2 linked regions of the Caenorhabditis elegans genome follow. The protein of the gene in region 1 interacts with the protein of each later gene in a pairwise test. Each region holds a gene or a part of one and is shown on either strand. Other genes may lie near its edges.

Region 1 (17,536 bases):
ATTGGTCGGATATTTGGGGATCAGAGAAGTACTTGTTTTTGCGATATTAATAATGATATATTTTTCTAGTAAAAAAATGTTAAGCGATTTGTGAATAATTAAGTTGGCTTGAAAAAGATTTTTTGATAGCTATGTATTTTGTTAATTTAAATCAGATTTTAAAACTTTATTATTGACTATTTATATATATTATATATTATATATTTTCATGGTTTAATCAAAATCTATTAAATTATTTCTAAAATCTCTAAATATCGAATTCTCTAAAAAGCTTCATCAACAAAAGCATTTCAATTATCTAACACAATGAGAATAATTCAAGAACTGAAATAGAAAGAAATCTAGAAAAAAAAGAGAGTGAGGTGCCCTATTAAATCGGTGCTCTCCTCTCTAACAGAAGCGCCTACACGCACCCAAGAGAGCTCTTTTTCTTTCTTTTTTCGGAGCACACATACACGCATACACTCCTCAGAAGTGTATAGAGAAAATGGGAGAAGAAGCGAAAGAAGACGAAGAAGCGGTTGTGATGTATGCATCGGGCGTTTCTATCTCTCTCCGTGAGCAACGAGCTAGTCAACCCATCGATCCATTTTTGTGAGCACACACAGAGAGAGACTCAAACACACTCACAGCTTCACACTGAGCTCCAAGAGCTCTGTAGAGAGAAGCCAGAGTATGCTTTCCTCGATTTTCCTAACGTCTTCTTCTTCTGCTTTTTTCTTTTTCCCAACGAGTTGTAGTCCACTAACTTCAATTTTTCCTCCAGAGAAAGAGTTTTAGAGAGACAGCTGATAAATACACTAGAGAAATAAAAAGAATGATAAAAATTTGCTATTTTAATCAGTTCCCTCTCGTTTCTCTAAGTTTTGTTGTTGGGTTGGGAAATTAAAATTGGAAAATGGAAATAACGTTTTTTTCTGTCTAATCTTGAATTCTCCAGACATTTCTTATTTCCTTTTTTGTTGCAAGTTTTTCTTCCTTCTCTAATTTTTAATCAAAGATATCTCGCTATGAACTTTGAATTTTTGATATTTTGATTCTATAAATACATAAAGTAATCTAAATGCTCTTTTAAAATAAATCTACAGTAGCCCTATTTTCAGATGGCGGCTGGCGGACAACCTCAAGGCGCTACACCGGGACAACCCGATCAGAACTTTGACTACATGTTCAAGGTGAGAAGAGCTTTTTAAAGTGGAGGCTTAAGATATTTATTATGAAATATTTATGATGTTGTTGACCTAGTTGGTAGGGTGTTTTGAAATGTAGAAGTTGAAATAAAATATCATATAAATATAGGCATGCCATCCCTATTAGTAACTATTTTTCAATAGCGCTTTTTATAAAAGGGTGAGATAATTCATTAAATCTTTGGGGATATTAAGAGGGACAGGATCAACTAATAGATTAAAAAAAAGTTTTAACTGGTATTTTCAAAAAAACCGCCCGGAATCGCCTCCTAAAAACTCTATAAAAAGACCTTTAAAAAATGCATTTAAAAATTTGATTTTATTTCACAACAGATCATAGTTTGCTTAATTTTTTTTTTAATTTTTGATTACTTAAAAGTCCTTTACAAAATTTTGCCAAACGACCAGTTTGAAAAATAATTGCGTTGTTAATTTGATCTAAAAACAGATTTAAAGTTTGTTTCTTCATTTTTTCCAAGTAACTAACTACATACATATAATTGCACCCTCTCATTCGTTTTTTTAAAACAAAAATTCAGAATGAATATTTTTTTTCTAGTAATTATTCTAACTAATTACTGTGTCTCTCGTTCTTTTTCCTACAATTTTCATTTTCCCTCCTCTACACGTTTTTCTCTTCGCCCGTAATTTCCAGTCGAGTGCTCTTTTTCCAACTCTCCATCCTCTCTTTGAGCTTCCCGTTGCTCCCAGAAGAAAAGAGGAAATTCGTTGGAAAAAAAAACTTTCACTTTTCTTTCTTCCATCCTTCAGAAATAGGGAGAGGAAAAGAATCGATGGGTGTCTCTGGGAGACTCTCTGGTTTCATATTTTATTTGACAAACCGGGACTCACTTTTTCGTAGAATAAAAGGGAGTGAGAGATGGAAATGGAAGAAGAATGGAAAAATGAGAAGAGCTACACGAATTCTGTTGCGAATATGAATAACACGAGAAAAGGAAATAAAAAAGAAAAAGAAATAGCTCGCAAAAAAAACTAAATTTGGCGGGGGAATCTGAAGATTGGGATAAATTTTTATTGACTGTGGAAAAGTGACAATTACTCAATTTTGCAAAACTTATCTTAGGTTTCAAATATATATATATATATATATATATATATATATATATTTTATCTTAGGTTTCAAATACCTAAATTTGAACATTTTTGGAAATGATAGCAATACTCCAAATTCAACAAAAATTCCAATCTTCGAAGGGTTCAATTTTAATGTTTACTTTTTTTTGGAATGTTATGAGAGTATTTATAAAAATTCCAGCAGACAATACTTCGCCTTTGAATAGATAAGAAACCGCAAAAATTGCCCAATCCTAAAATTTTATCCTAATTTTTTCAGCTCCTGATAATCGGAAATTCATCAGTTGGAAAAACATCATTCCTCTTCCGTTACTGTGATGATTCATTCACTTCTGCCTTCGTCTCTACTGTCGGAATCGATTTCAAAGTGAAAACTGTGTTCCGTGGAGACAAACGAGTCAAACTTCAAATCTGGGATACCGCCGGACAGGAGAGGTACCGTACCATCACCACCGCCTACTATCGTGGAGCAATGGGATTCATTCTGATGTATGACATCACTAATGAAGAGTCTTTTAATAGTGTTCAGGATTGGTATGTTGAGCATGGTTTTAAGAAAATATGTATCTTGATTCATTTCAGGTGCACTCAAATCAAGACATACTCATGGGAAAATGCTCAAGTTGTTTTGGTTGGAAATAAATGTGATATGGACTCTGAAAGAGTTGTATCTATGGATAGGGGACGCCAACTTGCTGATCAACTTGGTAAGTATTTTGAGAAAAAATTGTGCTGAAAAACGAATTTAATTTTAGGTTTGGAATTCTTCGAAACATCAGCCAAGGAGAACATTAATGTAAAGGCAGTTTTTGAGAAGTTGGTGGAGATTATTTGTGATAAGATGGCAGAGAGTTTGGATAAGGTATGGTTTTGGAATTGTAGATTTTTTAACTTGTTTTTATTTTTGAAAAAAAAACGTAAATTTTATGTATATAGAAAATGGCATGATAGAGATTTATATTCTAACGGTCTCATGGGCCTCATGATTTCCTGCATCTGAAAATTTTAGTTCGCTTCAAAACCCGGGGCATTATCTTTTTTTGAAAAACATTGCAATTTTTGTAAACAAATTATAATTTACAATTTATGTTAGTTTATAAAACACTTCCTCTTAATAAAAATCTTATTAAAAGTAGTTTTTTCAGGACCCACAGCAACAGCCAAAAGGACAGAAGCTCGAAGCGAATCCGACCCAAAAGCCTGCTCAACAGCAATGCAATTGCTAAAAATTCTACGTTCTATTATACTATCTATAAAAACTCAAAATTTTCCCAAATTCCAAACGCAATAATATTAATTTTCTAAAAGCGCGTAGCTCTCAGTTTTCCCTCTCTCAACATCTAGGCACCAGATATATGGATCGTAAATTAACTTATAAATCGAATTTCTATGATTTTTTGGAAAGTAAGTTTTTTTTTAAATTTAACTTATTTTATTTTAGGGCGTAGTTGGTTTAATTATCTTTTCAAATCCTTTTCACTGTCACTTATTAAGTTTTCATTCAGCGCTATTTTTATTAATATTTTAACTTATTCCAACGTTCAATCATATTCCCCATTTGTAAAAAATCAACAATTTCTCTCAACACTTCCAAACAATTCCCAGAGCTGTGTTTTCTAACTAATCATAGTCGCCTATTATTATTATTATTTTATTTATTGTATTTCTCTATTTCCTTATTTCCTAGTGACTTCCCAGTTCCCAATGATTACACCCACCCGCTGAAAGATTGATTTTGGAGGAAATTATTTTCGAGGCATAATAAATTATTTATTACAAAGAGATATTTCGAGTGAAAACATGTTCAGATTGTAGAAGGAATGGTTCGTAACCAACACTGTGGGTTGATGGAAGAAGAGATCGGGCGAAGAGTTCCAGAGGTCTGTAATTTCAATTATTATATTTTGAATCCCAAATTTCAAAATCTGACTCTGTGAATTCGATTCCAAAATGACGGAGAAGATCGAGCAATGGAGGTTTGTGAGAGTGTACTGACATTGGAACGCTGAAATTGTATTTTATTGGATGTTTCTACTATTTTATCGATTCCCTAAAAAGTGTGATTTTTGATTCTAATCATGGCATAGTGTCCTAGCACGAGCGAAACTTTTCACCCTTCCGTACCCCCACAAGTACTGTAGAGTTGCACTTTTAGTAATTTTACTGATTTGACTTTGAAAAAAAAACAAAAAATGATTGAGAAAATAGTGATAAATGTAAAGAAAATTGGGTTACGGTAACTGAAACATTTCTTCCGTCGCAGGACCCAAGATCTCGGTTTGTGATAAAAAATCAATTTTTGCAAAAAGTTAATAAAACGCCACCTGGCAAAAACAAAATTCTCCGGCAACTCAAACTTTCTCATCGAATCCTTTTTCTTCGCCAACATCAGTGATTCAAATGGAACTTTATGTTTTTGGTTATCAAAATCATAAACTGGATCTCCTTGTGTTGTGATTTTCAGCAATTTCCAAGTGGCAACAACTTCCATTCCCCATTTATCGAATCTTTCTATCATTTCTTCCTCAATTCCTATCCGATTTGTGATCCAGAAAGCAATCAGAGCATCATGAGTTAATATGACAGGAATATCGAGACAATCTAGAACTTCTTCGTCCATTTGATATCTGGAAATAAATGCATCTGTGGAGTTTCTTGAAAATTTCAAAACGCACGTTCGTTTTCGTTTCACTGATTTACTGAACCATGGTGGATCGGCAATGATCAAGTCGAAGAGGAGATCTGGAATCTAATACTTTAACATTTCAAACAGGAATTTGAAAGCTAACCATGTGCTCTTGAATACTGTTCAATATCCTTCACATCTCCAACATGAAATGTAGATTTAGGAGGTATATAGAATTTTGTTCCGTCTGAATTTTCAATGATACCCGGCTTGTCGCCAGAGCACCGTACCCAATTGTTGATCATTCCATTCGACATTAAATTACTCAAGGATTCTGATTTCTGGAACTCGATTATTTGCTCTGAAGATGCAGAAGCACTGGGGATTGACACGTTCAACGCTCTGAAATATATAAATGTATGATATTTAGTTTACAGCATTTTTCATCCACTAACGTTTCCGCAGCTTTTCTGGATTTCAAATTATTGTCCAAGATTGATTTTTTCTTAAAAATTTTTAATTCAGTGCCAACATTTTTAATCTTTAATGCCATTTGTTCCATCCTATTTGAATTTTCTGAAGTTTCTTTAATTTTTCTTTTTCGATTTGAAATTCCGCGACGCTTGATGGCTTCGAATTGCGAATCGGGCATAAATTTTGAGCTGATCTCATATAATTCTGAGCGAGTTTTCAGATTTAGTTCTTTGAAGACTGAATCGTAGTATTTCTCTTCATCAAGAATCGCAAATTCTGTGTCCATGTGAACTATTGACATCTAAAACCTCATGTTCTGCCAAAAAAAAGCTCATTAACAGGTGATGAATGTATTTCCCAAAGACCCAGAATCTGTAGACATACTGAAAGGGAATTCGAAAAATGCAAATTTTTATTATTTAAAAAAAAAGACCGAGATCAGAACGATGAATTTCAAAATTATGCATCAATGGATTGGGGGAACTTTGGGGAGAATGCTCACAACACATGAATTAAAGTGACTACAATTGAAGAAATGATGAATAAATATGAACAAAAAAGATAATAATTGAAAATAAGATAAATTAAGATGAGCTCAATGGTGCTCACCAATGAGTGATTTTATAATTACAAATATTCCGATTCCAGCGGCCACGAATAGCGACTTGACGAGTGAAATCCAATGAGAAGAAGAATGATTTGAGTGTGAATGAGTTGTGTCAGCAATAACATTCTGAAAATTGGGAAATCAGTTTTTGAAATAATAGTTTTTGAAATAATTGAAATAATAAAATATTAAAAAAAACTAACATGACTATGTCCATGACCTCCTTCTCCGCTGTCATCTGAATGCAACTCCATTGGAAGAAGCTCAACAAGAGCCACGTGTACAAAAGTTCCTGCTGCTAATCCTTCAAGCCAATATCTTCCAATTCTTTGCCACATGTCGTTTTCGATTCCGTCAATCTAAACTTTTCAAATTTAAAATTTAGAAAATATCGAGTTGATAAAAAATATACCGTTGTAGCGAGAATCATTCCAGCTGGAATTGTAGCTGACAAGAAGATTGATGAAGTCCATGCATACTTTCTTGAAGCATTATGCTTTGCCAGTTGAACTCCATACGAGACACAACACAGCACTTCATGAAAAAGGACGGCAATCAAAATCTGCCAAAACGCGTTTGAATCATTCTGAACGCCGAGAGCAACTCCTTCGAAGAATGAATGAACTGACATTCCAAGAAGAAGAAACCAGACACGAATGTTCATTGATCCACCGGGGGCAGTTCGACAATGTCCTGATGAAGGTGCATGGTGATGAGGGCTCGTGTTCTACAAACGTTACAAATGAAATTTGAAGAAATAATGCTTCTTGGTGTTTTTTTTACTGTACTCAAAATGACACAAAAATGCATTTTTCAAAATATTTTCCAATTTCAGCTAAAACCTCTTTTCCGTGTCATAGTGGATGGCAATTGATATTTATTTAGTTTTTGTTCTACTATGTAATTTTTTTTCCTTGATCCACGATAATGATATGCAAAACAGAACAATATTTTTTTTATAAAAACAATTTCCGTTTGCTACAACACGGAAAATTTGGCAAAGCTTAAGATTTTTTCTAAAATTAGGCTCTTTTGACCATTTTTGAGGTTTGAGTAGAATAAAGCAAATATAACTTTTGATCGATTTTCTTATTTTTAAGGTATGTACCTGTCGGAAAATAATTTCATCTGCATCATCATCCATTGCAACAAGTGGAACGTGATCCTCTCCTTCTTCCTCCTGAAAACTTTTTTTAAATATTAAACCCGGGAAATTCAAAAAACAAAAGCTTACATCGTGGAACTTGTTCATTTTAATTGAATCACTTGTTGCCAGTGGGCTGTGTCCTGAATGTGAATGGCCATTTCCGATTGAATGTCCGATTCCGTGAATGATTTGCTCAGTTATCAAAATTATCAGGAATCCAATAATAACTAATTGATCAGTCGATGGAATCCATCCATAACTATCAACTATCGTCTGATTCCCTCTTAAATGCATTTCTTGATGTCTGACATGAGGGACAAGTCCGAGGAAACACGTGGCAATGAAGACACCGCATGAAGCACATCCCAGGAATGAGATTGATGTTTTTGAAGCGTTTCTGAAAAAAAAAATTTCTAGTTTTCATTTGTTATTTTGGAATTTAAACTGACACACAACATGTCCTTAGAAAAGTGTACGGTATCGATGTTGAGATCAGAAGAAGAATGAAAACAGCAAAAGCTGATGTTGTCATAAACAAAAATTGTTCCATTTTTAGTGCATTTTCTGAAAAATCTGCTTAGCGATTTTGATTTGGTTGGACTTTTTAAAAAATACAAGATCGATTAAAAAACGATTTGGAAGTTATTCAATGCTTGCAACAACAAATTATTTTATTGGACATTACTAAAATCAGAAGATCAACAATAAAAATGGGATAACTGTAAGAACAAAATTTTGAAAATCGAAATCCATAACAAGGAAAAATCAACAATGATGTAACAAAAGTTCATAAATTGTAAATATAAAAATAGGCTTAACGTTTGCTTAACGTCTTCCGCGTCCACCGCGTCCTCCTCGTCCACCACCACGACCACGTCCACCGAATCCTCCGCGTGGAGCTCCGAACAGATCATTGAAGCTGAAAAAAATAAAATAATTTCAGGAAAGACCGATGAAGCTTCTTACCTCTCCTTGTTGTTTCTCTTCATTCCCTTCTTCTTTCCTCCATAACCGAATTTATCCGATTTCAGTTTTCTTTTGAGTTCTCCTGCGTTTCTCATCGATCCTCCTCTTCCAGCTCCACCTCTTCCGGCACCACCTCTTCCTCCTAGACGGTCACCGAATGCTCCAGTCGGTGCGTCATCATCCTGATCAAGACCATGTCTTTTCACGTTGTTCAGCATATCTTCCAATTGTTGTTTCATTCCCTTTTTGTGCTTCTTCACAGCTTCTGCGAGGTTCTTTTTCTCTGTATTCTTGGCAGCGAGAACTTCCTGAAAAAAATGATATTCATGTTCAACGATTTTATTTTTGTAAATTCTACAAAACGAATCAGAGTAAATAGCATGTTTTACCAATATTTTAAATTTAAATTTAGTGATGGAAAATAGAAAAAATGTTTTATCTGGAAATAGATTTTTATTTCAGTTTGAAACAATTGCGAAGTGCTCAAAAACTGTATCAAAGTTGGATATTGCTGCAAAAAAATTTTATCCTGCAACTTTCAACTTGCAAACATTTTTGAGTGTTTGTCCAATCGAACCATTAGAAATTAAAGTTATTTTTCCGTTATTTTAATTAATTTTTAGGCTGAAATTTTTCTGGTTTTTTGAACAACCATTACCTTCTGAACCTTAACAGCAAACTTTTTCTCTTCACGAATACGGCGGAATGCTTCTTGTCGTTCCTTCATTTCTTGAATTCCGAGAAGTCTCTTGCGAACTTTCTGCATATGAGTGTCACTCTTTGCCATCTCTGCATAGTAATCTGTTGGTCGCAGAACTTTGATACCAAGATTCAGAAGACGTGGATAGGCGATTTGAACAGCTTTTTCAGCTTGCTTATAGCTTTAAAAAATTAGAATTTTCGAAATTATACAACCCTCGTGCAACTTACAAATTCAACTCTCTTTGGAAGTCGTCATTTTCCACTTTCTTGTCCATTTCAGAATGAGGAGTTACCACTTCAAGAGTCTCAACCCATGGAAGATCTTTTGTGATTTCAGCCAATTTTTCTTTCATTTCAGCACTTTTGTTGATGATCGGACGCTTTTTGGCTACTTGAATGTTGAGTCCATCTTTAAGAAGACCAGCAGCGAATGCGGCTTGGAGCTGCAATCAGTTTTTTTTTTTGAAAATACTTTTTAAAAAAGTAATTCTCACCTCTCTTTCATCGTCATCGCCGTCTGATTCAACCTCTTCGATATCCATCGCTTCCATTGGTTTTTCCTCGATAGCATTATCGAAGTCAAATTCGGATCCGTCGGAATCGCTCTGAAATTTTGAATTATTTTTTAAAACAAAGTATTTTCCTCACTTCTGGTTCCGGTTGACGACTTTTTGAAGTGCTGGCGAGCCGCTTGGCGAGCTTATTCATTTTACGAACCATCTGAAATCGATAATCAATAAATCCATTAAAAATTAGAAAAACACAATTATAAAATATTAAAAACGCTGAAAACGTTTTCTTTTGAAGATCGAAGAATAGTAAAAAATTAACAAATTATTATTACAAACATTCACAAGAACAAGAAAAATATAATACATGAAAACAAAAAAATTATTAACAATTATTATTGCACATCGAATCGAGCACCAATGAGAAGACGGCTGGCTGAAAGTTTTTAAATAATTAGCTTGCACTAAAAAATTAACAAAATAAATAGTATTTTAATACATGAAACTTTGACAAGAAACATTTTATATCGGTAATGTGTCTTCCCAAAAAACAGCCAATAAATTCTTGGCCGAACTGCGGCGCATTGAAATTTCTCTTCCACAAAAGATTTCTCGTTCATAATGCTGCGTCCAAACCCGAAAAAATCTCAAATGTTCTTCATTTTTTTAAATTGAACTGATAATTGAAGAGAAAAACGATTATCGGAAGCAGCATAAAGATATATTGACCCGAAAATTTACGAAGAGACCCCCAGAAAACATTATTTAGATTGAATTTTCTCTTTGAACAAACACATGAATAGGTTTTTAGTCTATCAATTGATAAGAGTCGGAGTGCAATGGTATGTGCGATGTGACTCATTTTTCTTCGATTTTTTGTACAATAAGAAACAATTTTTCAGAAAAATTTAATGAAAATGAATAAGTCTAAAGATCGAACACCTACAGTATCCACGATTGAGAGCTATGGAACGTAAGTTTTAGAATCAAATTTCTATGATATCTGTACTTTACAGAGATATGCCGCATGAGCATTATCGTTACTATAGAGAAAAAAATATATGTGGCATTTCTGGACCAATATGCTTTTGTTCAACTCTGATCTTAGTGGGATTTTTGATTTTGCTAGGAATTTTGGCGATAGTTATATTTTTCATACTTCATCGTGAGTACTAGACGTCCAGTTCTTAATATTAAGCATGTTCTTTACAGATACGTTATGAAACGAGTGGTCAGCTTCTCACTATCAACGACAAAATTATATTTCTTACTATTCTAAACCCTAAAAATGGATTTTCAACGTTTATACATGAATGAAAACATATTTTACGCCTATTGTTTGATTGGAATGAATTCTAAATTGATTTGATGTTTTAAAACTTTAAAATACTCACCATTTTTGCGGAGGAACGGGCTGAAACTTAAAATTATTTGCAGAAATTCGAAACTGAAAACTCTGTTTTGAATTGCCGCTTGAGTAAGATCCGCAGGGTGACACGCAGCGCACTGACCGCAACGCTCTAGACGACACTTGCGAGCATAGTTTTGAATGTGAACGCAGCGTTCCCGCACTGTTTTTATTGGTTTTTTGCATGTTTCTTTGTTTTTTTAAGTATTTATTAAACGTTTATCTCTCTTTACGATATTACGACATAAATTATTTTCTATCTTCTTATTCGTTTTCTTTTTTACAGGGATCTATCATTTAAGCCATGTCCTTCTTCAACCCACCAGCAAACTCCAACCATGGTTACAATGACGACGTCAATACTGGTTACAATGCCCGAATGCATTCAAAACTCGCCGAAAGAGAGGGATTTCATCTCGGAAACGGTTCAGATGAACCAAGAACTTTGTAAGTTGGGTACATTGGAAAGTTTCGAATTTCTTGTTGAAAATTGTCAATTAATTTACTCTTTTGTTGCAGGTATGTTGGAAATCTTGATTCGACAGTCACTGAGGACTTTATAGCGACTTTGTTCAATCAAATAGGATCGGTTACAAAGACCAAAGTTATTTTCGACGTAAGTTTTTCGCTTTGGAACAAGACTAATCTTTACAGAAAACTCTTGCTTGCTCGCGGTACGTATGATTTTTATCCGCTTTTATTTTTACTTTTAAATGTGAATCTTTTTGATTATGATGTTTTCTAATTTCACAGGAATTGGGGTACCTGGCTACAAATGCACAAGGCGGCAACCAATCCACACCGACACTGAGACAGTGTATACCTTTTTCTTTTGAATTTTTTGTTGTTTTAATTAAGTACTAAGAGGAAAACATGCGTTTTGAATAGATTTTCATAGAGATTGAGAGAAAACCCGGGAAATCAAAGTATTAGTCAAACGTTTTCATTTCAGGGTTCTAATGATCCATATGCGTTCGTTGAGTTCTCTGATCATGGACAGGCTTCCCAAGCTCTTCAGACGATGAACAAGCGACTTCTTCTTGATAGAGTATGTTTTATTTGAAACGACAAATTAACTCCTGTATAAAAAACAAAATTTCGATATGATTCCACTGGGTTCCGATGTAAAATTTGTATTTTTTTAAGTGTTAGCAATATAGTTTATTTGCTTAAAAAATTAAATTTCGTTTATGTGTCATAAATAAAAAAAAGTAAATGTGAAAACCTATTTCAAAATCAAATTTGTTATTTTCAGGAGATGAAAGTCAACTGGGCCGTGGAGCCGGGGCAGCAGCAGTCAAAAATTGACACTACCAGACATTTCCACGTTTTTGTTGGAGATCTCTCGTCCGAAGTTGATAACCAAAAACTGCGCGAAGCTTTCCAACCATTTGGAGATGTTTCGGACGCCAAAGTGATCCGTGACACTAACACCACTAAGTCAAAGGGTTATGGTTTCGTTTCATACCCGAAAAGAGAAGAAGCTGAGCGTGCTATTGAGCAAATGAATGGACAATGGCTCGGAAGAAGAACTATCCGTACCAATTGGGCTACAAGAAAGCCAGGAGATCAAGAGAAACCAAGCCATTATAATGAAAAGTCATACGATGAGATCTACAATCAAACTTCTGGAGATAACACTTCAGTCTACGTCGGAAACATTGCTTCACTTACTGGTAAGTCAACAAAAATTTAATATTTTATAATACTTTCATTGAAAAATTCTAACGTCGAATTTATAATGTTTTTTGCAGAAGATGAAATCCGCCAAGGATTCGCCAGCTTTGGACGAATTACCGAAGTCCGCATTTTCAAGATGCAAGGATATGCATTTGTGAAGTTTGACAACAAAGATGCCGCTGCAAAGGCTATTGTCCAGATGAACAACCAAGATGTCGGAGGACAGCTTGTTAGATGTAGCTGGGGAAAAACTGGAGACGTAAGCGTTTTGATTAATTTTTTTAGTAAGGAAAATCTTATTTCAGACTGGAAAAACTCCTGGAGGATCTTATGGTTACGGTTATGGAAACTCATCGTCTGGAGGAAACTCACAGCCGTACTCTGGATATGGTGGTGGCGGAGCTTACGGAGGTGGTCAAGGAGGAGGAGGCCATGGAGGACCTGGACAACAGCAATCCAATGCCAACAGTCAGTATTGGCAATACTACGCCCAATACTACAATAATCCTCAACTCATGCAACAATGGTCCAACTACTGGCAGCAACAAGGAGGAGCTCCACAACAACAGAACTCTGGAGGACATCAATAAACTCCAGTATTTTTTAAAAACATTTTATATGTGACCCTATTGCCCCCGGATTTTGTCATTTGAACTTAATTCCAAGTTCCACCCATACCTTAATTTGTCCGGCTGTGGCCTTTCTGTCAGTTTTCTCTTTCTCGGCATTCTAACGCACTTTTCTATTTATGATTTCCTTTTTTTCTATGTATTTGTTATAATACTTCCCTTCTGAAACAATCTGTTGATCTTTTGACAATCATTATATCAAATTTTTTTCTGTTTTTTTATTTGCTTCCATTACGTGTCCATTCCCCACCCACACCACTTCATCACCTAATCAATATGTCTAGATTCAAAAAGAAAAAATGCACACAAGCAAACCCCTAAATTACACTGGTAGATTACAATGTTTCGTTTTCTTAATTTTGCAATGGCACGTATTCTTATCTGGTTCTGTCTTTTTTCGTTTTTTTTCCTGTTCCTGAAGCACAATAATAAATGCGAGGGTAAAGTCTTATTGAGTTCGAAAATGTTTATTTCCATTTCTGGGGGTTGAGGTTCTACACGTTTTGGGATTTTTAAATTTTCGGTTGTTGCAAATTCCAGCAAAGACATTTTGCACACAGGACGAACGGGTGAGACAAAGGGATGAAAAGTTAGTTGACATCAGTTGACTAGAAAATGCAATAGAAAGTGGAAGAGGATCACGGATTGAGAAAGTAGGGGGAAAAGCTATTGTATATGAAGAAAATGATAATATTCTCAAGTGGTCGACTCGTCAGTGTCCACATCAGTTATTGTGCTCCGCGCAGAGCTCATCGATCGGCAGCTTGGATGTTTGTCAAAGAATGATGATTTTGATGGTTGTAGAAGTACAGTGCTGATTAATGTGACACAGAATGCTTCAATTACTGTGAAGAAGTTCTTCCAGTCTGCAATTAAATTGGATTTAATGATAATTCGATTTTTTTTTTATTCAATCGCGAAGTTTTGTGATTTTTACTCCGAAAGTACGGTACCTGGTCTCGACACGACAAATTTTTGTTAAATGCGAAAGGATGTGGGCCTTTAAAGAGTGGTACTGTAATTTCAAACTTTTTTTGCTGTGTACTTTCTATTACTTTTCCAGAGAAAAACTAAGAAAAATCGATGAAAATCCCGCAGCAACGAAAGTTTGGAATTACAGTACTCTTTAAAGGAGAACACCTTCTCGCATTTAACAAAAAATTTTCGCGCCGAGACCTGGCGCAAAAATCGCAAAAACTTCGCATCTGAGTAATATTTAATTCAAACTCACAGAAAGAAGTCTCAATTGCTGGAAGTACAGTACCACATCCAAATGCTCCATATCTCGCGAGAAAATCAAAAACTGGTTGTTGCAATCCGAACACCATGAAGAAGAAATCAAGAAGACGGAATACAACAACATATCTGTACGAGATTAATTCATCCTGAAATTTAATGAAAAGTTATAGAATAAGCTTTTATTTAATTCTTACCATCCGAGAAACCGTTGTGACTAATATGTGAGTTCCGTAGATTCCTGCCAAAAGAGATGGAAGTGTGATAAAGTCGAGCACTTTTAGTGGGCTGAAATGAAAAATAATTATTAAATGGAGATATCAAATTTAGAAATTTAGGAATGGGCAGACTTTTAGAAAAATAAATTCAGTTTTTCTTCAATAAGTAGATTGCTTTAATGGCAAATATGTCAGAAAATATTGAATAACTCGGGGGAGAATTGCAACATTCTCGTGGATACTGTAGCCACAACATTTTCTTTTTTTTCAACGTTTTAAACAATATATTTGGAAGCAGCAGGTTTCTGATTATCAATTCCATTTAGAGTTTTTGAAATTACTCACACAAGGCCCTGATCTTGATATTCAAAGTAGATTACAAGCGAGACAAGTGTGGCAAATAAGCGAACGATCGGCGCTTGCATTACCATCAGCTCACACCATCTTATCTTTTTTCTGTAAATAAATATTCAATTTCAATTCTTCTTCTATTTAATAAACGAACCCTTCCAGTCGGACTTTTGGAAGACATGGAAATAGGCAACAGAATGGAGGTGTTGCTATCTCAACATACTGTAATCGCTGCATCATTTTCGTGACAAGGGCATGATGTCCATCGAATATGTGTAAAAGTAGACATATGATGACCCAGAGAGCAAACGAAAAATAGAGAAACGAGAGAAGATGAGACAAAAACCATACACGTGGCATGTACATTGCCACAAGTGCAAGTAGGGAAACTAGCTGAAAGGAGAACGAATTGAGTTCGAGGGTTACAGTAGCTAGAAACCTACCGGCGCAGTGCATGCCAGAAGCACAATGTGCAGTCGTCTACTGGAATGTGTGATGTAGAAGTGAATGTAGATGAGATGTAGAACTGCAAGGCATACTGTACCCACGGTTACTGCAGTTGCCACGGCCAGCGAGGCAATATATGTGGTTGTGAGCGCTGAAAATTCATTACATTCAATAAACTTTCAAGGAAAGTTAAACACAAATCACGGATTAGCTAAGTTGGAGCCTCTAAAGTTTCAAAAGTAAAAAAAACATATAAATTCTGACCACAACATTCTGGCATAGGTGCAATTGTAGGCACTGGAAAAAGAAAACTCACATCTAAGAAATGTTTTTGCATGTGGTACATCTTCATGAGTTCCTGTACAATTGAGTAATGAATCTGTCAAGAGCTTAACCAACGTCTCCCATGGTGATATTTCCAGCATTTTTTGATTGTTTTCAGTTGAGTGTTCGCAAATCGATCGATTTCAATTCGTGGTGGTGTGGCGATTTTTCTAGAAATGCAAATTTTTTTGATAAAGAAAGAAGAAAAAAGAAAATAGAAAATACGAAGACTTTCTGTTGAGAAAAAGAGTATCACGGGAAAGAATATATTTTATTTTCCCCCCGAAAACTGATCATTCTTCACTTTTCTATTGGCCATCAAAAACATAAAGTTGTATGTATGAGAGAAGGGAGGAGAATCGAACATTTTATGTGCTCTGCTGAAAGTTTAAAAAGTGATGTTAAAAAGCTTTTAATCAAATTTCAGAACAGCTGAAATTAAATTAAAAGTTTCCAGTACACGTCGTCCACATGTGCGGAGCAAGGGTGTCAATTTCCCGTAAAAATTACAAAAACGGGAAAACGGGAATTCCCGTTCCCGTGAAAATTTTAAAAACGGGAAAACGGGAATTCCCGTTCCCGTGAAAATTTTAAAAACGGGACAACGGGAATTCCCGTTCCCGTGAAAATTTTAAAAACGGGACAACGGGAATTCCCGTTCCCGTGAAAATTTTAAAAACGGGACAACGGGAATTCCCGTTTTTTTGAAACACTCAAAAAACGGGACAAACGGGCGGTTAAAAAAAAAAGAGTGCACAGTTGGCGCAAATTTTAGTGTATTCGAGGCGAATTGATTAAAAAAACTGCATGTAAGTCATTAATCTGCATGAATTTAAGTCTTGGTACAAAACTCAAAAACAGAACTTTAAAATTTGAAACAAAATCATGAGGAAAATTGTCCCGTTCCCGTGAAAATAAAAAAAACGGGACAGCGGGAATTCCCGTTCCCGTGAAAATTTTAAAAACGGGAAAACGGGAATTCCCGTTCCCGTGAAAATTTTAAAAACGGGAAAACGGGAATTCCCGTTCCCGTGAAAACACCCCAAAAACGGGACAACGGGAAAATCGGGAAACGGGAATTGACACCCTTGGTGCGGAGCAAGAAAAAATGTCTAAAAATTGTTCATAGCAGCGACTAGTCATGATTTCAGTACGCTTTTGAAGCGGATTTTCAGTCGGGAATATCCACCTTCTAGAGATTATCCTCACTTGTTCTCAAGCCCCACAGAAAAAATCCGAAGCTTTTGGAAAATATATTTGGAGTACATTAGAACTGAATTTAAATAATTGAATTCAAATTATGATTGAATTTTTGATTGTAACAGTTGTACATCTTTTTCATTTTGAACGATTTAGAAGCAAACATTTTTAAGATGAATATTCTTTGAAAAAATTAATTCCAAAATACAAAAACCCGCTAAATGGAAAGCCACCTTCAAGGTAATAAAATGGTATCTGATTGTGAGAAAAAATTTCAGAAATTTAAATTAATATATTTTTTTTCAAAATAAAAAGCACTACGCTCATCAAAACACATCAGTCACATGAAAACGACATTGTAAATATCCTTACCATTTGTCAACTTTTCAGTTTATTTTTTCACGGACCAAAAGCCGAACACAGAAATGAGGGGTGAAATATTTTGGAAGGAAGGATGGAGGCTGTTTGCGCAACTGCATGAGCCTCTTCACTCTTTCTCTCTTCCGCAGTTTGAATCTCTTTCATGGAGTTGAAACGAACGAAAAAAATAGAAGAAGAAGAAGAGCCGAAAAGTTGTTTTGACTGCCAAAAAAGTGAAGAGGAAACGAAGGAAAAGAAGAAGTGAATAGACACGAGAAGGCTCTTCAAAAGAGAATTGCAACACAGAATAACTTAATTTGTGTTGACTGGATCGTCCGAATTCGTTAATTTTTGAAAAACTCGATTT
Region 2 (9,182 bases), on another chromosome or scaffold:
CAGTAATCCGAATTTTAAGAAGCTTTTTTTGAGAGATTTTATAGTCTGGCAGGTTATGAAATAGTCACTTTAATTTGCACGCCATTAAGGATTACTGTAGTTTACAACCTAATTCCCAGACCACTTCGAATCGTCAAACTTTGCATTTTCAGAAAATGAGCCATAGCCCTAAAAACTCAACATTTTTCAACCTATTTGACCAGTATTCGATGACCAGTGAACCATCTCTAGTGGTGCGTAAAAGTACACAAAACTAAGGGTTTTTTGAGGCTTTATATTTTCTGTTTGTACAGTTAAAACCCAAGTTCTCACTCACAAAACATTGTGTTCATTTCCGCATTTTCTAAAATTATTTTCCTATTTTCACAACTAAATTTGTACCAATTTATTGTTTTTAGGTAATAGATACATCTGTACCACAAACCGAAACGACACTGAATGATGCTGATTTCCATAGTGATTTACACCAGAGATACGATTTGCAGACTCTTGGTAAGAACTTTTTAACTGTTTAATATAAATTTCCAACTTTCCAGGAATAAAAGTAAAAGACGATCCAACTATTGGAAACTACAGTGAGGGAGATATTTTGTTGGAAAGCCCTAAGAAATTTGTGGAGGAGAACAATAAGTTGGGACGAAATGCGATTAAACAAATATACAGGTGTGAATGTTTAGTTCCATATTTAAAGTATAAACTTTCAAGTTGAAAATTTCAAGTTTTTGGAGCTACATTGTGGCAAATCCTCTAGAGGTTGACAAAGTAAAATTGACATTACCGATTTTTCATGTTCACTACAGTAGTATAATGTCAACTCAATTCAGACGTTGGCCAAATAACGAGATTCCATACACCCTGTCTTCACAATACGGTTCCTATGCAAGAAGTGTGATTGCCAACGCAATGAACGAATATCATACAAAAACATGTGTCAAATTCGTTGCCAGAGATCCATCGAAGCATCACGATTATCTATGGATTCATCCAGACGAAGGATGTTACAGTTTGGTTGGAAAGTGAGTAGTAACTGAGAGAAATGTGACAAACTAGAAAAATTTAGAACCGGAGGAAAGCAGCCAGTGTCTTTGGATTCTGGATGTATTCAAGTTGGAACAATTGTTCACGAGCTGATGCATGCTGTTGGGTTCTTCCATGAGCAGAGCAGGTAAAGAGAATATAGCCATATCTCACATGGAATTGGTAAAAATGTTGCCTTGAGAAATGGGAGAGAAGTTCATTAAAATGAACAGGAAACCCTATTACCAACTTCTGGCAGTACTGAAAATCTGGGACATTTGTTTCAGAAGTGCGTGCCTACCCCAAACCTTTTTATGCCTACTTGCCTGCCCTTTGGCATGTAGATTTGTTTTTTTCCTGAATTGATTAATTCAAGAATTTAACTGGGAAATTAACACAATATAATTTTTCTGTCAAACTTTGAAAACTTTGTCTTGAAAAAAAAAAATCTCTGCCGAACTTCGGAAACTTGCACAGAAGTGCGTGTTCTGCCTTGAATATTTTTTCTGATTTCACTCGACTTCCAGACAAGACCGTGACAGTTATATCGACGTAGTCTGGCAGAATGTGATGAACGGCGCTGATGATCAATTTGAGAAATACAACTTGAATGTGATTTCCCATTTGGATGAACCATATGACTACGCTTCCATTATGCATTACGGACCATACGCATTCAGTGGATCCGGAAAGAAGACATTGGTGCCAAAGAAGGTAAGACAAACTCTGCAGATTACAAGAAGATATAATTTAATATTTTAGTCTGGGTCCGAACGTATGGGTCAGCGTGTCAAGTTTTCTGACATTGACGTTAGAAAGATCAATAAGCTATACAATTGTCCAGGAGTCTCCGGTAACAATAATAATAACAACAACAATCAAATCAACTCAAATTCAATTGTCAATCATCCTCAGGTTTGAGCACACCTACCCATCATCAATCTCTTTTATCATTTCTATCATACTAATGCCGGTAGCGTTAAAGCGCTTTTGCTGTGTATCCTTAGTTTTTGTGTGCAGTGCGTGTGATTCACCATTGTCTTCGCACTCGCACTTATTACAGTACCCCGTTCATTTCATATGACGGACGTTACTGTATTTTCGCAACTGTACTCCGATGTTATTTGGCTCCGCCTACTCTCTGAAAACCAATAAGTATCGTAGTGCAAAAAATATATCTCTTTCCACACAAAACAAAAAATTTTTCAGTCGCGATACGCGGGATTGCCTCTATCAACATCTAACCAAGTAACTAACAATCGTCGGATGATTCGAATTTTTGGTTAACTTATGTGTTCTTGTGTGTCTTTTTCAGTTTCTCTGTGTGTGTTTTAACGGGATTTGATCTCTCTTCTCAAGTTGCTTTTTGCCAATTCTTATTTGGTTCTGTATGTGTGTATTTTTAAATGTGTTGTGTGTCTAATCAATCTAATAAATTATCTTCACAATTTAATACTTTGCACAAATATTGAAAGAAAAATAAATAGGAAACATTAAGAAAATTAATTTTCAACTGAAGTAAATTAATATTGTCAATTATAGTGTCAGAATTCTTTCTAACCTAGTTAAGCTTGACTTCAATGCCGTCTACGCCTGATGTAGGCGCGCACACCTCATGCTTGCCTATAAAGGCCGCCTGTTTGAAAGTCAATTTTTTTTGAAAGTTAAAATTTTCGCATTTCATGTATCAAGGTTGTGAGGTACACCGACCCAATATGTACTATTCTGTTTCCTGTTCTATTTATTTTCAGACGGAACCCTGTGAAGATCTAACATGGAGATGCCGGTTTTGGTCACTTTTCTCATATTGCCAACGACGAGAGGTTCGAGCAATTATTTGCAGAAAATCGTGCTCAGTGTGCAAATAATTTGGCTTAGTACTCTGTTTTACTGTAACATTAAGCTTCAGATTCCCCAAACTCTTAATACTTTTCAAATATATTCTAGACGGGTTCTTATACTTTTTCAATTAATTGAATCTTGTTTCATTGTTCTCGAGGACAATTTACACAAAACTGAACTTTGCTCTCACCCTCTATGCGTCTCTTCTTCTTCTTATTATCTCTCTCAATTGTCGATTTACGATAAACCACGCCATCTCTGTTATTTTGGAGTCTTGTTATCATATACAGAAATACACAAATATAAATAGTTTATTTACGTGTGAAAATAAGTTCATTTCGATCAAAAAGACATGAGTGGGACGAATCGAGTTGCCGCCAATCTGAACATGTTGTTCACTAATTTGCCATTGCTGCAAAGGTTTGTCTCCGGAATTTCATTTTTTAGTTTTGCTATCGGATATTTGAAAATTTAGCGATGTTGCGCCTTTGAGGATTACTGTAGTTGTCACTTCCCGATATTTCTTGCATTAAAAATTCCAATTGCAACTAAAAATTCTCTGTGTTGGAATTCGAATTTTCATTACTACAGTACTCTTGAAATCCGCACATTTAAAATTGGCTTTGAGATCGGCTACCGTAATTTCGCGGCAAAAATTGTCAAAAAAAAGACTTTACATGCTTCTTCTAAATTTTGCACACAATTTTTTTCAGATACGGAGCAGCCGCCTCCGCGGGTTTCAAGCTTGTCGAAGTGAGCATTCCTTACACGGAGCCAGCCGAAAAACTTCGTGAAGCAGCTGATGAGTATCATCTTAAACATACTTTGATCAATGCACCGCCCGGGAATTGGGATGACGGATTTAGAGGATTGGCTTCTTTGAAATCGGCGAAAAAGGAGTTTAGAAAGAGTTTGGATACTGCGATTGAGTATGCGAAGGCTCTTGGATGTTGTAGGTCAGTTGAGGAAAGAGGGATTTCAAATTAGGAACAATGTGCATTGGATGTGATGTATTGAGTACGTAGTGTCTTTCAAATCTTATTAATACTTCAAACGGTGCAAACTACAGTAATCTAAACAATTTCAGAGTTCACGTAATGGCTGGAATTCCGAAATCGGATGATGACTTGGAAAATGCTCATCAGACCTATTCTGAAAATGTGCGTTTTGCCGCCGAAAAGTTCAAGGAGCACAAGTTGATATGCCTCATTGAACCAATCAATAAGTACACTATTCCTGGATATCACTTAAATAATTATGAAGATGCAATGGATGTGATCCAAATGGATCAATCGAATAATTTGAAAATTCAATATGTAAGTCAATAGAACATAAAACATCGAATTTTATGCACAATTTTTTTTGAAAATAAGAATTCGAAAAGTAACTGTAATTTTTCAGGACACATTCCACGCTCAACAAATCAACGGACAAATTGGAGCAATTATGAGAAAGCTCAAAGATTATATTGGTTAGTTGAAAAGGATGATGATGAAAATAAGCTTACGCCCTATTTTTCTGAAATTACTTTTTCATTCGTCGATTTTTTTCGAGTTTTTCAGGCTATATTCAAGTGGCTCAAGTTCCAAATAGAGGTGCATGTGATACACGCGGAGAAATCGATTATCATTTTATTTTCGATGAAATCCGTTCGATCAATCCATCATGGGTTATTGGTGCTGAATATTTGGATGCAAAGCCTTCATTCAATTGGATTGAGAACATGTCTCTAAGTTTTTGAATTACCTGTCTTTGTAAATTCGCTCCATTGATAATTTTTTTAAAATAACAATACATATTTTTCAAATATATATTATTCATAATAGTAAGTTACAGTATGTTCAAAATACAAAACCCGTGAGTATGGAATGAGACACGTGGCGAGTTGGGGGTGTTTTAGAGAGACTTGGAAAACATACTTAAAAGGGGCGAGCTTGGGAAGAAAAACAGTAGTGTACGCAAATTGTCGTATTTAGAGCATGGTGTGATTTTAAGAGTCTAATACAGAAATATTATGAAGGTAGAAATAGAAAATTAGAAAATTCGTTGTGTGTTTCAATATTCACAAGAAAGGGTTTCATTTCTAAAGCACCGTGCCTTACGAACTTCACGACAATGTACTGCGCTTCTTCTCAAAATCAGCCCTGATAAAAAATTAATTAAGCAAAAGAAGGCAGGAAGAAATGGAAAGAAAATGAGAAGATCATGATGATAGATGCTGTGCGGGGTATCATAAGAAGAGAGATCGTTCACGGGTATCGTTGATAGTTAACATTCTGACGGTTTGGATTTGACACTGTCTGAGCTAGATAGTGTTGTTGTGATTGATGACGTTGTTGAGGGTCTGATGAAGAGCTGACACGTGGATGGTGATGATGATGGTGATGGGAATTGTGATGAGGAGCCTGTGTCACTGGAGACTGCCAATATGGATTGTATGCAGGTCGTGGAGATTGTACTGTTGATCTTGTTGGAAGAGGTCGATACGTTGGATAAGGATTCGCTGGATTTTGAGGACGATTGTACCGAGTTTGAGTAGATGCTTGTTGCTGCTGTTGTTGTTGATAACGACGTCGGAGTTCTTCTTCACGAAGACTTTTGAGCTCTTGGCGACGGGCTCTGAAATACGTTTGATAATTGGTATAGATCTAGGAAAGTCACACGTGGAATCATCATAAATGTTTCAAATAGTTTTGTGCTACCTGGCATTGAATTTATTTTTGCCGCTCAAAAACTGAAACGGAACGATACCCAAAAAAAGCCATTTCAGTCTGGCTTCAAATCTTAAAAACCAAAAAAATGTTCTGCTATTTTTCAATACTTTCATAATAATTCTCAGTTCTCTGCGCTTTCTTTTTCTCAGAATAATAACTAACTCTCTAATTTGTTCCTCTTTTCTTAATCGATCTTCTCTCCTTCGTTTCTTCTTTTCTCTTCGTCTTTTCTTTTCTTCTAATAATCTTTGCTTCTCAGCTTGGTTCGTCATTTCCACTTTTGCTCGTAAACTACAAAAATTTCATTAGCTCTAATCTGATACTTTTGATATAAATGCTTACTTTGAAATACGATGTGGATTTGGTGGTTTTGTAACGGTCTGCTGTCGGAATAATGGATGACTGGGAGGTTGGTGAAAGAGTGAAGCAACTACCAGATCGGTTACGTCCTGAAAATCAAAAAGTTGAAACTGTATGTCTCGAAAAAACTCACATTTCCATTTGGAACGGGACTTCGTAACCGGTCAAGATCGTGATGAACAACTAGAAAATGGCTCGCCTGAAATATACGGATAATGTATTTCAATCAAAAAAAAGTGCACACGGATTTCTTTATGTATCTAGCTACAGTAGCCGCGAGTACGGTAGGAACTTATTGAAACGAGAGAAAAGTTAATGTACATATCAGGAAATATTCGCTCGTTCCAGACCTCGAGCTTCTAATTTTTGGTAAAAACCACATTTTCTTGCGAACATATGCTCGAAAATATACTTTAATCGGGTTTTAAAAATTATTTTTCTAAAATGTAATAATATCTCCGATACGAGCTGTCAAAGCAGAATGAGTATATATTTCACTTACTTTCCGACGTTTTTTTGAATTAGGACCTCTCCTTGGTTTTCCACTCCGTCGTAATTCAATATACCAGGGATTAAACCTGTCACCATAAGCACAAGACGCATATAAATTGTAATAATTTTCCATCATTTCTTCGAGAAAAACGCATTCTGTTGAATAATTAGATGATGGTGTTGCATATAATTTCCCCGATGGATCCATACAAATGAAATTCTTTGTTTCAACTCCTCGAATCGATACAAGACTCATTGCCACTGACACAAACTCCACTATACTGAATTTGGAACTCTCCTCTTTTGTTCCATGAACTTTGACACGTGTCGATCCATCGTCAGGATTTTCGATAGGAAGCATCTCCAACCAGGTTCCCGAACGACAAAACAGGGCTCCGCGGCGACGGCTGGAAGTAGAAATTAGTCAAAAACGCAATGCCTTTGAAATCATTGGCAAGTTTTAATTTTTGATCATGATCACTTCGATTAAAAAAATGTTTTTTGTTGTTTTTGATAAATTGTCGTTGCCCTGTGAAAGAAAACAAATTTCAAGAATTGAGTAAAAAATCCGAGATCCCTTGTTACAAAAAGTTTGAAAAGCTTAAAAACTCACTCATCAGCAGGTGGATACCCATTTTCTTCTTCATCTTGTAGTTGTTTCTGGAAACCATTTTCAAGTTTACAACTGTATCTCTAATTTCAAACTCACTCTGATCCGGTCCACTCGATACGGAGCACATGAATTTATACGATCGGTTACAAAATTTGAATTATAGAATCCCTGAAAATTTATTTCTAAGTTTCAGTTCATATCTTAACTTTGAAAAAGTAATCAATTTGTGGGAGAAAAAAACATTATCCTAGATTTTCTAGTGTGCTATAATTTTTTCCAAAAAACATAGAGGTGTCAGATTCTTAAGTTACTGTATGAATATTTCAATTTTTGGTTTTTTCACATTTTGAGTACATATAGCTTGAACTTCCAAACGTTCTTAATTCAAAAAAAAATTAAAAAATTAAACATTTATGGTTAAAAGAAGTAAACTTACCGCAAGAAAAGGTGTAACTGGTGTTGTCAAAAAGTTAGAAGTGGCTGCTCCTCCGTATGAAACTATCGATGAGGCGGCAGGAACGGCCATATATTCATCTGAACATTTGAAGAAATTGTAATGATTTGGAAATATTGAAGAACGAGGAAGTAAGAGTCAATAAATGAGAAAAAGGGCAAGTACAGAGATTCGGGAGCAAACAATCTTCACCTCCGCCTCCACTCCTTTTCTGGCACGAGTTTGCACTCAGGCTCAGTTGGGAGAAGGCTCAGGCTTTCTTGCAAAATGGAAAATTGTGATGAAAAAAAAACAAATAGAACGGTAAGATTGGAATGAAGGAATGCAACAATGAAAGAGAGTCTATTGAGAAAACAGATAAATAGAAACAGATCACAATGACCAAGTTCAATAAGATGCAAAATAGAGTTTAGAGTTTGTTCGGGGGCATTAGAAGTATCTTTGAATAAAAACTTTAAAAAGAAAGAAGATTATTAATATTCTATCTTTATATTTGGAAAAAAGTAGTATACTACTAATTTAAAATCCGATAATCATACAACAAGTTCAAAAATTTATAACATTACAAATTTTTTATAAGAAAGTGATTAAGAATTTTGAGAAATATGAAAGTATTTTTTGTAATCTAGTTTTTGTGAAAAGCCACATATTTTGCTTGCAAATTTCCAAAATGTTTATTTTTCCCAAAAAAGTTGTTGCTCAACTTTAAATGTCTTATGGTTCACTCAACAGATTTTAGAGTAGGTAAGAGGCAGGTGTAGGCTCTGCATTTAGGAGTTTTTGTGTATCTGTGGAAAATTTCAACAACGGTTTTTTTTTCCGAGAAAACATATGTAGTTTTGGCAAAGTGATTTGAACCGATTGAATCATCACAAATTTTCACAAGTGACGACAAAGTTTTGAGATCATATTTACACAGTTGTTCATAACATTTGTTCAAAATAAAAACACAAAAAAAAACTTCAAAAAAGGAGGAAAAATAGATCAAAATAAATGAAAAGAGCATCAAAATGTGTAGGATCTCTAGGCTATAACAGAAAAATACCATTTTGGAAAAATGCCAATTTGTAGAGATTCCCAGAATAGTGTCATATTTGTAAATAAAAAACATCCCCCGCAAACAATACTCTTCCGAAAATGAATGAAATTTGAGCTAATAAAGTATGATGCATTTGGAAAAATAGTAGAAAGCGATACTATTCTGAGGAACTAAGAATGACGTTCGATAAAAAATGAGCAGAAATAACACATAATAATATGGTTCAAATTTATAGCAAACATGAAATTACGAATTCCATGGTAAGTTAAGAATTATTCACATTTTCACGTATGTGGAGATGGATATGTGAAAAGTAGATGATTAGTTTGACAAAAGTAAGTTTGGAAAAAAATAAGTGTTTTTTTGGAATACTGGAATGAAGTAAATTTATATTGTCTTACTGTTAGAAAAATGAAAACATGTTAAAAAATGCTTAATTGAAAAAAAGCATAAACCGAATACGGTATTTCATGAATAGGTATACGGAACAGTCGTGGCAAGACCCATTTATGAGAATCTAGAAATATATTTAAATGTCTGAGTGTGAAAACTTGAAAACTAAAATCCTATAGTACCCGAAAAATCATATGACAGAAGAAAGATCAAGAAAAATATGAGTAATAGTTGATGTAGGAAAAAGAAAGAAATCGA

Evidence for each region.
Region 2: the proteins of C18A3.3 (region 1) and let-756 interact in a two-hybrid assay, tested with the Caenorhabditis elegans proteins (one study listed by BioGRID).

The regions. Positions count from the first base shown.
Region 1 is NC_003280.10:5,708,298-5,725,833, reverse strand, and holds C18A3.3 (putative rRNA-processing protein EBP2 homolog), read right to left. Parts: upstream 9,528-17,536; coding exon 9,456-9,527; intron 9,413-9,455; coding exon 9,302-9,412; intron 9,251-9,301; coding exon 9,036-9,250; intron 8,987-9,035; coding exon 8,764-8,986; intron 8,414-8,763; coding exon 8,106-8,413; intron 8,059-8,105; coding exon 7,965-8,058; 3' UTR 7,796-7,964; downstream 1-7,795. Other genes in the region: Ras-related protein Rab-3, read left to right, coding at 1,104-1,175, 2,545-2,819, 2,868-2,992, 3,041-3,147, 3,431-3,511; damt-1 (DNA N6-methyl methyltransferase), read right to left, coding at 4,059-4,167, 4,216-4,290, 4,610-4,912, 4,961-5,027, 5,075-5,313, 5,367-5,671; zipt-3 (Zinc/iron permease), read right to left, coding at 5,981-6,118, 6,196-6,351, 6,405-6,719, 7,101-7,172, 7,227-7,536, 7,589-7,689; C18A3.10 (uncharacterized protein), read left to right, coding at 10,234-10,289, 10,333-10,481, 10,529-10,539; lelo-4 (Late ELOngation arrest), read right to left, coding at 9,584-9,752, 10,711-10,910; Cytotoxic granule-associated RNA binding protein tiar-1, read left to right, coding at 11,029-11,171, 11,244-11,340, 11,677-11,772, 11,980-12,400, 12,479-12,663, 12,710-12,994; osta-2 (Organic solute transporter alpha-like protein 2), read right to left, coding at 13,730-13,899, 14,265-14,418, 14,467-14,557, 14,833-14,943, 14,993-15,231, 15,282-15,436, 15,602-15,710. UniProt on the Caenorhabditis elegans protein: Required for the processing of the 27S pre-rRNA.
Region 2 is NC_003281.10:6,405,519-6,414,700, reverse strand, and holds let-756 (Protein let-756), read right to left. Parts: upstream 7,573-9,182; 5' UTR 7,565-7,572; coding exon 7,475-7,564; intron 7,207-7,474; coding exon 7,135-7,206; intron 7,086-7,134; coding exon 7,039-7,085; intron 6,833-7,038; coding exon 6,436-6,832; intron 6,133-6,435; coding exon 6,067-6,132; intron 6,023-6,066; coding exon 5,916-6,022; intron 5,865-5,915; coding exon 5,736-5,864; intron 5,479-5,735; coding exon 5,109-5,478; 3' UTR 4,668-5,108; downstream 1-4,667. Other genes in the region: nas-4 (Metalloendopeptidase), read left to right, coding at 399-492, 537-663, 825-1,016, 1,061-1,165, 1,545-1,731, 1,780-1,932, 2,227-2,265, 2,769-2,885; C05D11.5 (Putative hydroxypyruvate isomerase), read left to right, coding at 3,212-3,279, 3,573-3,815, 3,947-4,175, 4,261-4,330, 4,422-4,600. UniProt on the Caenorhabditis elegans protein: Required for larval development. Probably by binding receptor egl-15, negatively regulates membrane protrusion from body wall muscles during larval development.